2 linked regions of the Drosophila melanogaster genome follow. The gene in region 1 interacts genetically with each later gene. Each region holds a gene or a part of one and is shown in the gene's direction. Other genes may lie near its edges.

Evidence for each region.
Region 2: of Pdha (region 1) and Pfk, changing one suppresses a phenotype caused by changing the other (phenotypic suppression), as found in Drosophila melanogaster (one study listed by BioGRID).

Annotation. Positions count from the first base shown.
Region 1 is NC_004354.4:4,700,480-4,705,792, forward strand, and holds Pdha (pyruvate dehydrogenase E1 alpha subunit), read left to right. Parts: upstream 1-1,845; 5' UTR 1,846-2,052; coding exon 2,053-2,112; exon of another isoform or gene 2,113-2,212; coding exon 2,213-2,413; intron 2,414-3,075; coding exon 3,076-3,640; intron 3,641-3,715; coding exon 3,716-4,038; intron 4,039-4,108; coding exon 4,109-4,291; 3' UTR 4,292-4,786; downstream 4,787-5,313. Other genes in the region: CG7024 (uncharacterized protein), read left to right, coding at 5,085-5,207.
Region 2 is NT_033778.4:10,108,130-10,115,975, forward strand, and holds the start of Pfk (phosphofructokinase), read left to right. Parts: upstream 1-1,610; 5' UTR 1,611-1,712; coding exon 1,713-1,756; intron 1,757-1,803; coding exon of another isoform or gene 1,804-1,821; coding exon 1,822-1,924; intron 1,925-1,976; coding exon 1,977-2,044; intron 2,045-2,102; coding exon 2,103-2,418; intron 2,419-2,740; exon of another isoform or gene 2,741-3,299; coding exon of another isoform or gene 3,300-3,344; coding exon 3,345-3,446; intron 3,447-4,487; coding exon 4,488-4,829; intron 4,830-4,886; coding exon 4,887-5,041; intron 5,042-5,155; coding exon of another isoform or gene 5,156-5,264; intron 5,265-5,413; coding exon 5,414-5,522; intron 5,523-5,996; coding exon of another isoform or gene 5,997-6,105; intron 6,106-6,787; coding exon 6,788-6,976; intron 6,977-7,185; coding exon 7,186-7,628; intron 7,629-7,685; coding exon 7,686-7,846.

The DNA of each region.
Region 1 (5,313 bases):
TCGATGATGTTTTTATTATTTGATCAACGCACTGTTACCCATGCGGCAACTTAATTTGATCTGCTTAAATTATTTTATTTTACAATGTGTCTTGGTTACTTAAGACTAACAGATTTTTAATCCTAAAAAAGATAGGGAGAATTATAATAGTTGATATAACATAGTAATTATTATTTATTTGATTATTCTAATGAATTTTAAAACTAAGACTTTCTAGGTCAAAACCAGGTTAGGGAGGTCATGAGGGTGGTGTGCAAGCAGTAATAAAACAAAAAGGCGGAGAAAGTCGAAAGCAAAAGCAAAGACAAAATAAATAATTATCATCTTGTCGTTTATATAAGTGTGTGCTATGTGTTTCTCCGAATCGGATTTATGTTATATAAAACAGAAGAACAGTAACAATTTAAAGGCAAATTTCAAGGAATGAAAGCGAACAGTAATAAGAAACAAGGAAACCAAAAAGTAAATATATATATTCATGCAAGAAATACAAAATAAAGTAAACATTGGTGTAAATTAAGCAAGAACCTAAGTAAAACCTACTAAAAACAACCAAAAAAAATAAGAAGCTTAATACGTAATTTCCTGAAAACAACAGAAGACATATGCAGAAATCACACACATTTACCGTTACTTTTCACACACATACAGCACCTCTCTCTCTTTAGCTATTGCGTTTTAGATTATTGCTCAGCACGTTTTTGCGTAGACACAAAACTATTTATGCTAACGGTAAGATAGAACCTCCTCTCTCTCTCTCACCCACACACACACACACCTCCCCCACTTACACACACACAAGCACTCGCAAAAACAAGAAGACGAAGAGAAAAACTAAATTTTTTTCTTATAATCGGAATGCCGGATTTCTAACGGGAAAGGAAACAAAAACACAACAGGACTTCTAATAAGTGTTTATACATACAAATATATATATATATACATGTACATGTATACATATGAAACAAAACAAAAAACAAAGCAAAGCATAATTTTTTGTCATAATGCAAAATATTTGTGTGAGAAACCAATTTTTGATGTAACAGAAAAACGCGCGAAAAATTGAATATGTGTAACGGTAACAGAGCAAAAGATAGATAAAAGAAAGTAAAAAATTTATTTCATTCGCTTAGTTTTTCCCAAACGATCGATCCATTTCCTCATTTTCCGTTAGTAACTTTTAAACTCAAATCTTTTAGCTGCCATTTCTAAAGCAAAAAAAAAAAAATGAAACAACAAACCGAGAAACCAACAAATACAAAAACTAGTTTAAAATCTTAGTTTGTAAAGCGTTTATTTGAATTTAACTGTTTAATTCTACTTTACCTATTTCTATTTAACTGGTTTTTTGTGCAAGGAACAAACATTACTTAAGTTTTTGTAAGAGATTAGTGAATTATGTGAGCTGAGTGCGATATAGAGCAGTATTGCAATTGCAACTGCAATCGCAAATGTGGATTTATGGAGGCAATTTCAAGTAACAATACGAGTAAGAAATGAGAAAGCAAACAAAAACCAAATGAGATCTTCAATGTGAAATAAAAGTACTTCTTTGAAAACCCTCGTTTTATTTGGGCGGCAAAGTAATATAAAATGTGATTGAGTAAGTATTTATTCGAGTATTTCAATAACCGCCAAACACTACTATTATTTTGATATAACATTGTGTGACACATTATATAAAAGCTTATTGAATATTTTACGTAAACATTTATATTTCAAGTTATATTGAAAAAGAAAGTTCGATAAGCTAATTTAGTATTTTTTGAAAACAGGGAAAGCTGCAGTATTTTATTTAGGGTCACACTAATAGGCCAAGTGGTGCGTTATTTTTCGCTATAACGCCAAACGGTTGTTATAGTTGTGCAATATAGTAGTTGATAAACTAATCTCGCTACCTTTTTTTCCGATTGTTTAACTTACAACGACGCGCGGCGGTGCGACTGAGACACCAGATATATAGCGTGCGATTCTAGATCCGGACAATCCGCATATAGAAAGCCCCCATTCACATCCAATTTCTGTCAGTCGAACGAGAATAACACAGCGAAAATGTTGCGTACTCTGTCACGCGTTAGCGAATTGCCCATTATTGTTAAGCAACTGCAAAAAGTACGTAATCCCAATCCCGCTTTGCACCCACTAACATTTCTAATTGTTGTCACTAAAAATGCAATTGAACAAATCCATTCGATAATGAAAACACTAAAAGCGTTGCCATAACAACAACAACAACAACATCATCATCAGCGGATGTCGGATACTTAGCAACAACAACAACAACAGCAGCATCGATATCATCAGGAATGGGAGATATTCATCGTCGTTTTTCGGTTTATTCCAGAATGCAGCCCAAGCAGGTGTTTCGAAAACCAACAATTATGCCACGGAGGCCACCGTTCAAGTGAATCGGGTGCGTATTATAGCATTAAGTACTTGTAACTCAGGAAAATTCAAAAGTCGGAAGGGAAAAAATACGGTTACATAATGCGATTTTCGCCAGATAGCAAACGGTTTGCGTGTGTGTGTGTGTGTGTGTAAGTGCAGGGTTGCATTTTGCCGGTCAATCCGCTCATTTTCAAATGACAAGGTCACGCAGTAATTTGTAGTTTTCCGTCTCCCACGCTCTTTATCACCGTCTGCCTTTTGCGTGGCCGACGCGTGACTGTTCACGCACCATATAACATATAGTCTTATCAACGATCCGCCGATTTTCACCCTCTCTCTCTTTCTCTCCGTCTGTCTGTCTGGCTCTCTGTTTACGTCGATTCTCACGCCATAAATTAGCCGCCATAAATCCAAATTTGGTTTTTGGAGCATACTTCCGAAAATCCTCGATATGTGGTTATAGCTCTCTATAGATTAGTATACTTTGATTAGAGAAGCTTGAAGCCTATGGTTATTTGGTTTATCCAATCAAACTGCTATCATTTTATTACTTATCATGCGTTCCAAACGTTTCCGTTACGTTCTTATCAGATGTGTGTGTCAGTTGTTAATGTAAAAGTAGAAAACGTTTTTAAAATTAATGAAGTTTAGGGATCTAAATTCTAAATATGCTTTCCAACTTTGCAGCCCTTCAAGCTGCACCGCCTGGACGAAGGACCCGCCACGGAAGTGAAGCTGACCAAGGATCAGGCCCTCAAGTACTACACACAGATGCAGACGATCCGTCGGTTGGAGACGGCCGCCGGTAATCTGTACAAGGAGAAGATCATTCGCGGCTTCTGTCATCTGTATTCCGGCCAGGAGGCATGCGCCGTTGGCATGAAGGCGGCGATGCGGGATGTGGACAACATCATCTCGGCGTACCGTGTCCACGGATGGACCTACCTGATGGGCGTCTCACCCAGCGGCGTACTGGCTGAGCTCACCGGTGTCCAGGGTGGCTGTGCCCGCGGCAAGGGTGGCTCCATGCACATGTACGCACCGAACTTCTACGGAGGCAATGGCATCGTGGGTGCTCAAGTTCCTTTGGGTGCCGGCGTTGGCTTGGCCTGCAAGTACAAGGGCAATGGCGGCATGTGCCTGGCCCTCTACGGTGATGGTGCCGCCAATCAAGGACAGGTGTTCGAGGCTTACAACATGGCCTACCTGTGGAAACTGCCTGTGATCTTTGTCTGCGAGAACAACAACTACGGTGAGTGCTGTAGAAAGTGGAACAATGCTAAAAGATATTTACTTAAACCAAATGTTGTATAATTATACCCATTAGGAATGGGCACCAGTTCTGAGCGTGCTTCCTGCAACACTGATTACTATACCCGCGGCGACGCTCTGCCCGGAATCTGGGTGGACGGCATGGATGTGCTGGCCGTGCGCAGCGCCACCGAGTTCGCCATCAACTATGTGAACACTCACGGACCTTTGGTGATGGAGACGAACACGTACCGATACTCTGGACACTCCATGTCCGATCCGGGCACATCGTACCGCACACGCGAGGAGATCCAGGAGGTGCGCCAGAAGCGTGATCCCATCACCTCCTTCAAGGAGCTGTGCATCGAGCTGGGTCTGATTACCACCGATGAAGTTAAGGTGGGTTTGGCTTATAGGGTTTTATTTTTGTTATGAGTTATGATTGCTAAAAGAAAAAAACATCTTCCAGGCCATCGATCTGAAGGTACGCAAGGAGGTCGACGAGGCCACCGCCTTCGCCAAGTCCGATGCCGAGCTGGGCGTGAGCCACCTCTGGACGGACGTGTACTCCAACAATCTGGAGCCCAAGCTGCGCGGCACCATCGCCTACGATATTGATCACATCCAGGAGCGCAAGGGCGTCAATCACTAAGTCATCGGGCCAACGAATCTGATTCGGGAACTCACAAGAACCTTAAACGAAACAAGAAAACCGAACAGCAAACACAAATCACTGACAGACAGACAAGAAGACACAATAACTCAGAAACTTGGACACAAGCGAAATCTCTAGATCATAAGCCGAAAGTTGAACGATGAGAACCCCGTAGAACGGAACGGATCCGAAGAGACCCACAAAAAGCTTAGCTAATCGGAGCACTCCAACCACACATCGTAGCGCACCACATAACTCTGGGGTACTGCATTGGATATTATATTGCGAACGTGTTCAATAAGGATAAAGCGAGGTGTAAATTGTTGAAAATATAAAAATCTAGAAAAATTAATCCAAATTAGTTTTCTTAACAAAAGTGAATCAAGTATGTACTTTTGAAATGTGAAAATCTCAGTCTGTTTCACCTATACTTGCACTATAGAATTTTGATAGATTTATAAGATATTAATAAACGGAATAGATTTAATAGATAATTCGATTTGTGGAAGAATTACAGTTCGAATCAAAGTAGTATTTGAAAAGGAGCAGTTGTCAGCTCCATAAGCAATCCCAAAATCGTTATATTTCCTTCTCGTTCTGTTTAGTGACAGTTGCCATCTCTGTCGATTTGCTTATGATTTTACTGTCGATTTCTTTTCGGTTGAGTACAAATCCATTTTTCAACAATTTCCGATCATATTCAAAATTTTAGTGCGTGGCAATTGCCCATTTGGCTACAAGCTCATTTTAGTGCCCCGGTGTTTGGGAATTGGTATTCGGGCAAGGGCCAATGATGAAGTTCAGTTGTGTCCGCGTGGCGATGAGATGCAGTGGAGCCCACTCCATCCTCGAGAGAAATATGCTCTGCAGGATAATAGGGCGCCACAAATGTAGCTGTTTGACCCTGGAGAACGTAAGTGTTTTGATTATCACAAGAAGGTCAATGGATAAGTAAATACCATTGAAAAAAGCTATATCGTAAAAGTTATATTTTTCATTTTGAATTAAATTATGTACTC
Region 2 (7,846 bases), on another chromosome or scaffold:
TATTGTGTGTGTTTTTCCCGATCGAAACGGCCAAACTCTAGATGCTCCGAATTTGTTCGCCCTGGCGGTGCCTCGTGTGGATTTCCTCCTTACAAAACAACAAAAAAAAAACAACTAAATAATATTCCTAACTGTATACACAAGAAATGAAATGAGATAATCGGTTATTATACGTTTTTTGCAACAGTCCAAATTAATATTTAATTTTCGTATGGCAACAGAAACAACTGCAAAAGATACAGCAACAACAACAACAACCAAGCGAACCAAATGAGAAAACAAAAATAAAAACAAACTTATGTATTATTTGTAATTCTTTTTCTAAACAAATAAAACCAAAAAACCTAGTTTCCCATTTTACGTTTATTTCATTTCGAAATTGGTTCACTTTTCGTTTTTCAACCTGCCCCCCACACACACAAACAGAAGCACACACAGATACACACAGTCACACACAGACAGGGCTGCATTTATAATGCACGTGCGGAAATCGGTTCAAATCCCATGAATCAGGAACCATATCTGTTAGAGGAATGTGGCGAGAACGGAAAAATACAGAAAATATATAATTGTTCATTGCTATTTTTTATACATGTCTTACATAAAACAAAAGGGTTAAATCTACAATTGCAATTTCTTTGTTGTTTTTTCTTGGTATAAACAATTGTGAAAAGCATAACTCATATAATACATACATATAACCAACTGTCGTCTGTCAAATGAATTTTTCGAACGAAATGAAATCTAATATCCCCTCGCGGAAGTCCACTAACATTTTTTTTTACTGTGCAACATGGCGAAGGCACGAGTTTTATTGTGCGCAATGTCTGCCCAATTTCCCATTTATTCGTTAGTTGGGTGTAACTTTTTGAAGTACATGCATAAATATGTGTACGTTTAAGCCCAGAGAAGCGTTTCCCCAACAAAGAAACAGCCACAAATTGTTCCTAAAATCTGGCGATTATTTCTTAGCTGTTTTATTATCGTTCGAAAACGTGGTCGACTTCTTCAATCTATGACAATTGCAGCCTGCAAATCAGCAATGGAATTATTAAAACGGAAGTTAAATGAAGATCGAATCAAAATACATAAATATTGTGAACTAAACTATTCAAATTTTTAATTTAAATACAAGAAAACTTTGCATGTGTATTGAAAGAAAATATATTATTGTCCAGCATACAGAACATATGTATGTATGATAAAAGTAAATGTATATTTTCGCAATTGAATTTATCGCTATATTATGAATGTGAGGAATATAAAAAAAAGCAAACAAAAAAATATATATTTAAATAAAAGAAACACTTTTGCCGCAACGCTAATAAGTCGAATCCCAGAACATATAAAATAATAATATTGTGAAACTGCAATACATTCATAAAACCGAAAAATAATAACAACCAGATGAAAATTAAACCGGGTGTAGGCGTAAATTGTATGCATATAACAGAGGCAAAGATTGATGTATGAGTGGAATATTTAAGTTTATTGAAATTACAGTTTCTTAATTACCAACAAAAAAAAAACAAAAAATTAAATAAATAATACAAAAACCAACCAAATGAGTTTTTATTCAAATATAATATTTGTGATCGTAGTTACATTAGCTAAAATGTCAAAAATCATAAAAAAAAAATGAGTTCAGAAAATGAAAAAAATTGGTAATCTAATAAAAATGTTCAATATTTAGGAGCAAAATTTAGTTTGGCATGCATTCAATAAAATTTCGAGTATTTACCAAATTAAAACCTATGTAAGTTGTTGTCTGAATTTGATTTATTCACTACACCCACTTATAAGCTGTTCGATTGTTTGGAGATTTTTGGAAATCAATGGACGGATACCCATTTGCCGCCATTTTCATGGTCCTACAACATTTCGCTTAGAAATCTCAAACAAAACACCTCCGATTAGGCAAAAGGTAAAAATCGAATTTAATTTTGATCAATTTATAAGACTTTGTTTTACTTTAGCTCACATTTCCAAACATCGGCATCCAATGCACACGAAGTCATCATTTGTGTTGTCCTCGAGATATTTCGTATGTGCTTATATAGTTTGACTTTATATTATAACACTTCTTCCTTTTACTTGCTTAGAGGAAATACTCTTTTAAGTGTAAAATTTAATTGCAAACGACATTGTATAAAGTTGCGCAGTGATTCTGGTGATCAAAAGAATGATAGTCCTGGTGAAAAAAACATACAAAAAGACAAGTCTGCGCAACGATGTGGAAAACCAATAAACAATCTGCACAACGGATTTCTTAATGCTGTGAACTATTCTGAAAAGAATGCGGTGAAAAAGAAAAAGAGTGCACCAAAAAGGAAATGTGGCAAATCGGTGGATGAGCTGCGAAAGTGTTTAAGAACCATGCAGGATGTTATTGATTTTGTACATCCAGTCAAGCCTTTTGTAAGTTTGTCTCGCTTTTTACAGTTTTTTAAATAATTACGCACTTAAACGAGCACTAATATTCAACGATAAAAGCTCTTACATTTCGTTACTTTACGCGGATAGTTGTAGATAGGGTAGAACATCAGTTGAACACTTGAGATATAGCATAATAATTGGCGTTTCATAAACATTTTCGAATCTGAGGATACATTTTCCGGTTTTTTGAATATCAGAATAACGTATTATATAAACGATAACGATAACGGCAATCGCACCCACACACAACCGATGACTGCTCCCGAATTTCCCCATTCCCAGCGGTGAAAGCTCGCGAAAGCTTTTACTCGCCCAGTGATAACCAGCTGATCAACAGCTGAACGATTGTGGGTCGAACATAAACAAATTGGTTAAACGCTATTTTCCGCTCGTTGCTAGTCGCGAAAAGTCCGTTCATAACAGACAGAATCCTCAGATTTTCGACCTAAATCAAACCAAGTTAGGGCAATCGCGTTGGAGCGAACTCTTGGGCGGATTTAGCCATCCGAAGTTTGCATTGCATCAGTACGCACTTACAGAAAGCCCGTGGCTGTGTGCGTGTGTCCGTGTGTGTTGTGTATGCGTCTCTGGCCTGAAGGTCACCTTGAAACGTCAAAAGCAAAAGCGAAACTTGTGAATACCGCCTGCGAGCGTACATATTGCTAGTAACTGAAAAGCCACGGCAAGGAGCAGTAGTAGTATTTATAGCCCACTTGGATATAACCCAGCTCCAGCGGCGCTGCTCGCATAGTTGCAAAACAGGGAAACTCCCTACCGAGTACAATAGTGGTTCATAGTGTGTGCTTTGTGCGATATCCGTTACGACCCCAGTTTGATTTACATATAGTGCAAAAGATTGAAAAATGAATTCCGAGATTAATCAACGATTCCTGGCCCGCGGCTCGCAGAAGGACAAAGGACTGGCGGTCTTCACCAGCGGCGGGGATTCCCAGGGCATGAATGCCGCCGTGCGAGCCTGTGTCCGTATGGCCATCTATTTGGGCTGCAAGGTGAGTTGGTGACCTCTGTCAAGTACTTTCCGCCCACGCAGCATCGCGTCCGGTGACCCCGACCCCCAGGCACAGGCAACAAACCCATGTGAACCCAGAAATTTACGTAAAACACCTGGTAATTTGCTTATCAGCAGCCGTTAAACCACGACTATTGGGCCGCAAAGCCAGTTAGATAATCTCCAATCGGTGCGAAAAGAAATTCAAGAATATATGTGTACATGCACATTGACATTGGGTTTATTTTCGGGTCCCTCACATGCGATTTCGATTTCGGCTAATTTGTTTCGTTTTTTTGTTGTCGCTCTTGGTTTCTATTCGGTTTATTTAAATGAGTTCTTTAATTTGTTAGGGAACTTCTGGCCGGCCGTTGGTCCCTCGAAAATATGCAAAAAATGTGTCAATTGCTAGCCAATTTAAATTGATTAAAATCTATTCATTTGATTTCAATTTCTTGGGGGTCAATAAAAGTAAAGTTATTGCCACGCTTTGCATGACAGCGCTTGATATGTTCAATAAATTGAACAAAATTAATAAATATATCATGAGTATGCTAAACAAATGGTTCCAAATCAGTTCAAGTAATCTAACCTTTGTTTTTAATCTACTAGTGCCTTGGCATCATTATTGTTTATGTTATTTTTTCACTTTTCAAATTAAGAGCGTTATAAAATTTGAATTCTTGGTTATGTGAGTTGCTTAAAAAGTATCGATTTAACATCGATTACATTGTAATTACCTGTAACGGTATTTTGAATATGCAAATGTTTTGTTGTTTAAAACTTAAACTTATTCAGTAAAAGTTGAGAAAGTATATGAGATAAGTCATATCATATTAATTTCTATTGACTGTTCTTTACTGCTTCCTATTAAAATATTACGACTTTGGCAGAGTGAAAATGAAATTAAAATAATTTATACTCGAATTCGGTGATTCATTTTTAATTGTGCTAATGATGTCATGTGCCATGAAGATACCAAACTCTATACCAAACTGTTTTACACCATATCTACAATTGATTCGTGTTTACCTTCGGCAAGGTCTACTTCATTCGTGAAGGCTACCAGGGCATGGTGGATGGTGGCGACTGCATCCAGGAAGCCAACTGGGCCTCAGTCTCATCCATTATCCATCGTGGTGGCACCATCATTGGCTCCGCCCGTTGCCAGGACTTCCGTGAGCGTCAGGGTCGCTTGAAAGCCGCTAACAACCTGATTCAGCGAGGAATCACCAATCTGGTGGTCATTGGAGGCGATGGCTCCCTCACGGGCGCCAATCTGTTCCGTCAGGAGTGGTCCAGCCTGTTGGACGAGCTGGTCAAGAACAAGACCATTACCACCGAGCAGCAGGAGAAGTTCAATGTCCTGCACATCGTTGGATTGGTATGCTACACAGAGTATTCCTTGGATATATTTTCTTATGGATGAATCTTTTTGTAGGTTGGCTCCATCGACAACGATTTCTGTGGCACTGACATGACCATCGGCACGGACACGGCACTACATCGCATCATCGAGGCAATCGATGCCATCTCCAGTACAGCCTACTCCCATCAGCGCACCTTCATCATGGAGGTCATGGGTCGTCATTGCGGGTAAGTTGATCTCTGAGCGGATATTTGCGAGGAAAAGTTGGGATGCCTCTGTATTAGCCTAAGTGTCAGTGATTAATTGGGATTTTAGCTAATGCCTGGAACGACTATCTCTAGCTATCTTTCGGTGGTAGCTGGCATTATCTCCGAGGCAGACTACGTCTTTCTGCCCGAGTCTCCTCCGCAGGCCGATTGGCCCGATCGACTTGTCCTTAAATTGGAACAGGCAAGCCCAAAACGGAAATCTGTTGAATGTCGTCGACTCATTTCGCACATTTCTGTTTCTATGGCCGCAGTACTATGTCGATCGATCCCCATATCCTCCAAAATCCCATCCCCCTTTTGACTAATATTTTGTAATATATATTTTTGCAGCTATTTAGCTCTTGTGGGTGGACTGGCGTGCGAGGCGGATTTCATATTCATTCCCGAAATGCCGCCCAAGGTCGATTGGCCAGACAGGCTCTGCTCTCAGCTGGCCCAGGCAAGATGCAGCTCCATTTCCATTCCATCAGCACTGCGAGAAGTCGCAAAGCATCGGAAATATGTTCTCGACAGCTTGTATAGGATTTTAGGATATTATTCTTATTAATATAGCCAGTTAGCTGTCGAGATAATATTCCTGTTTTAGATAGAGTTGTATACTTCAGTGCAGTTGTCGTTGCTTGATGCTTAAGTAGTACACCTGTACACAATTTTTTGAAAGACACATTTTAAGAGCGACACTTGCCATACAAACGCTTGTTCTTATTTTCTGCTTACTGCACACGAATGTATCTTTAAACACAAACCGGAGATACGGAATGAATTACGCACAGTTTTTGTCTGTACCAGCATACCGAAATCATATTGTAACTAATCTTAAGTTTACCCCAGATACTCCCAATCCCCGGATAATTATCTCCCCGACATTTGTGAACCATCTTTTATTTTTGTACCTAATCTCTTGTTTTTTTAGTTACTTAGCCATATCGGCAGCCATAGCCACAGAGGCTGATTTTATGTTCATACCCGAGGAGCCGGTGTCAGTCAATTGGAAGGACGAGATCTGTGTCAAGCTCCACCAGGTCAGGTCCAGAGTCCTTCGCTATCCAATTAATTTCTAGTTACTCTTTTGTCAAATTTTTGAATTTCTAAATTTTATTCTGCATTGTTTTTGGACTATTCGATGTGCCGAAATTTCCATGGCGATAAACAGCTTTAACAGCTATTTGATTTACTTGTTTGGGTTTTGAGTCTCTGTTTTATGTACTCACGATGATCTCACTGAGTTCCCTTACTAACTTTTCCAAATCCACTAACGTCCATCCTCGTTTAATCGATCAGTAAATCTTCATCAATGTTTTCTATTCATCGACTTTGACTTGTGCGTCCATTCTTCATATTTCAAAACACCAATTCAGTTGCAGTGCATTTCAAAGTTTCAAAACTGATTTAAATACTTAAATACATTGAAAAGAACGTGCACACAGCCATTTTAATGATGCAAACTGAAATACATGAATATCACAGAATAACGTGAGTTAACTTTATGAAACGCACTGCACTCATTCGCTTGCTGATACACATTTGGTGACACTATTTCAACATTGTAAAGCAAAGCATATGTAAACTACATTTTTTTTGTTATGATGATGTCTACTCATCATGCCTCTTCATAATTCGTTTGTGCTTTTGTAGTTTCTGTATCATTCACGATTAGTATCTTACATATATGCTTAAGTGAATCCCTTCACCATTGACCAACAGGAGCGATCTGCTGGCCAGCGTCTGAACATCGTGATTGTGGCCGAGGGAGCCATGGATCGCGAGGGTCATCCCATCACAGCCGAGGATGTAAAGAAGGTGATCGACGAGCGTCTGAAGCACGATGCCCGCATCACTGTCTTGGGTCACGTGCAGCGCGGTGGCAATCCCAGTGCCTTCGATCGTATTTTGGTAAGTAATTATCCAAAGATCACCTCAAAATTTAATTTTAATTAGTAATTTACAATGCCAGCTATTTTTGTTTTATTTGTATAGCATACTTATATTAAGAAGCGCTGTAAATCCGATTTAAAACACTAAAGTTACCAAAATAAGATATACTTATTAAGATATAATTACACTATTTTTGACTTGAGAGTTAATGCTTCTAACCCGCATAGGCTTGCCGCATGGGAGCTGAGGCCACTTTGGCCCTGATGGAGGCCACCAAGGACTCGGTGCCAGTGGTCATCTCTCTGGACGGCAACCAGGCGGTTCGCGTGCCGCTGATGGAGTGCGTAGAGCGCACCCAGGCTGTGGCCAAGGCCATGGCGGAGAAACGCTGGGCGGATGCCGTCAAGCTGCGCGGACGCTCCTTCGAGCGGAATCTGGAGACCTACAAGATGCTGACGCGCTTGAAGCCGCCCAAGGAGAACTTCGACGCCGATGGCAAGGGAATCGAAGGATACCGCCTAGCTGTGATGCATATTGGTGCTCCGGCTTGCGGTATGAATGCCGCTGTGCGCAGCTTCGTGCGCAATGCCATCTACCGCGGTGATGTGGTTTATGGAATCAACGACGGTGTCGAGGGTCTGATTGCCGGAAATGTCCGCGAGCTGGGCTGGTAAGTAATCCGACAAGGGATCACTCTAAATCTGTGCTTAATGCAATTCAATTTCAGGTCGGATGTCTCAGGATGGGTTGGTCAGGGTGGCGCCTACTTGGGTACCAAACGCACACTGCCTGAGGGCAAGTTCAAGGAGATCGCCGCTCGTCTCAAGGAGTTTAAGATCCAGGGTCTCCTGATCATTGGTGGCTTTGAGAGTTACCATGCCGCCGGAC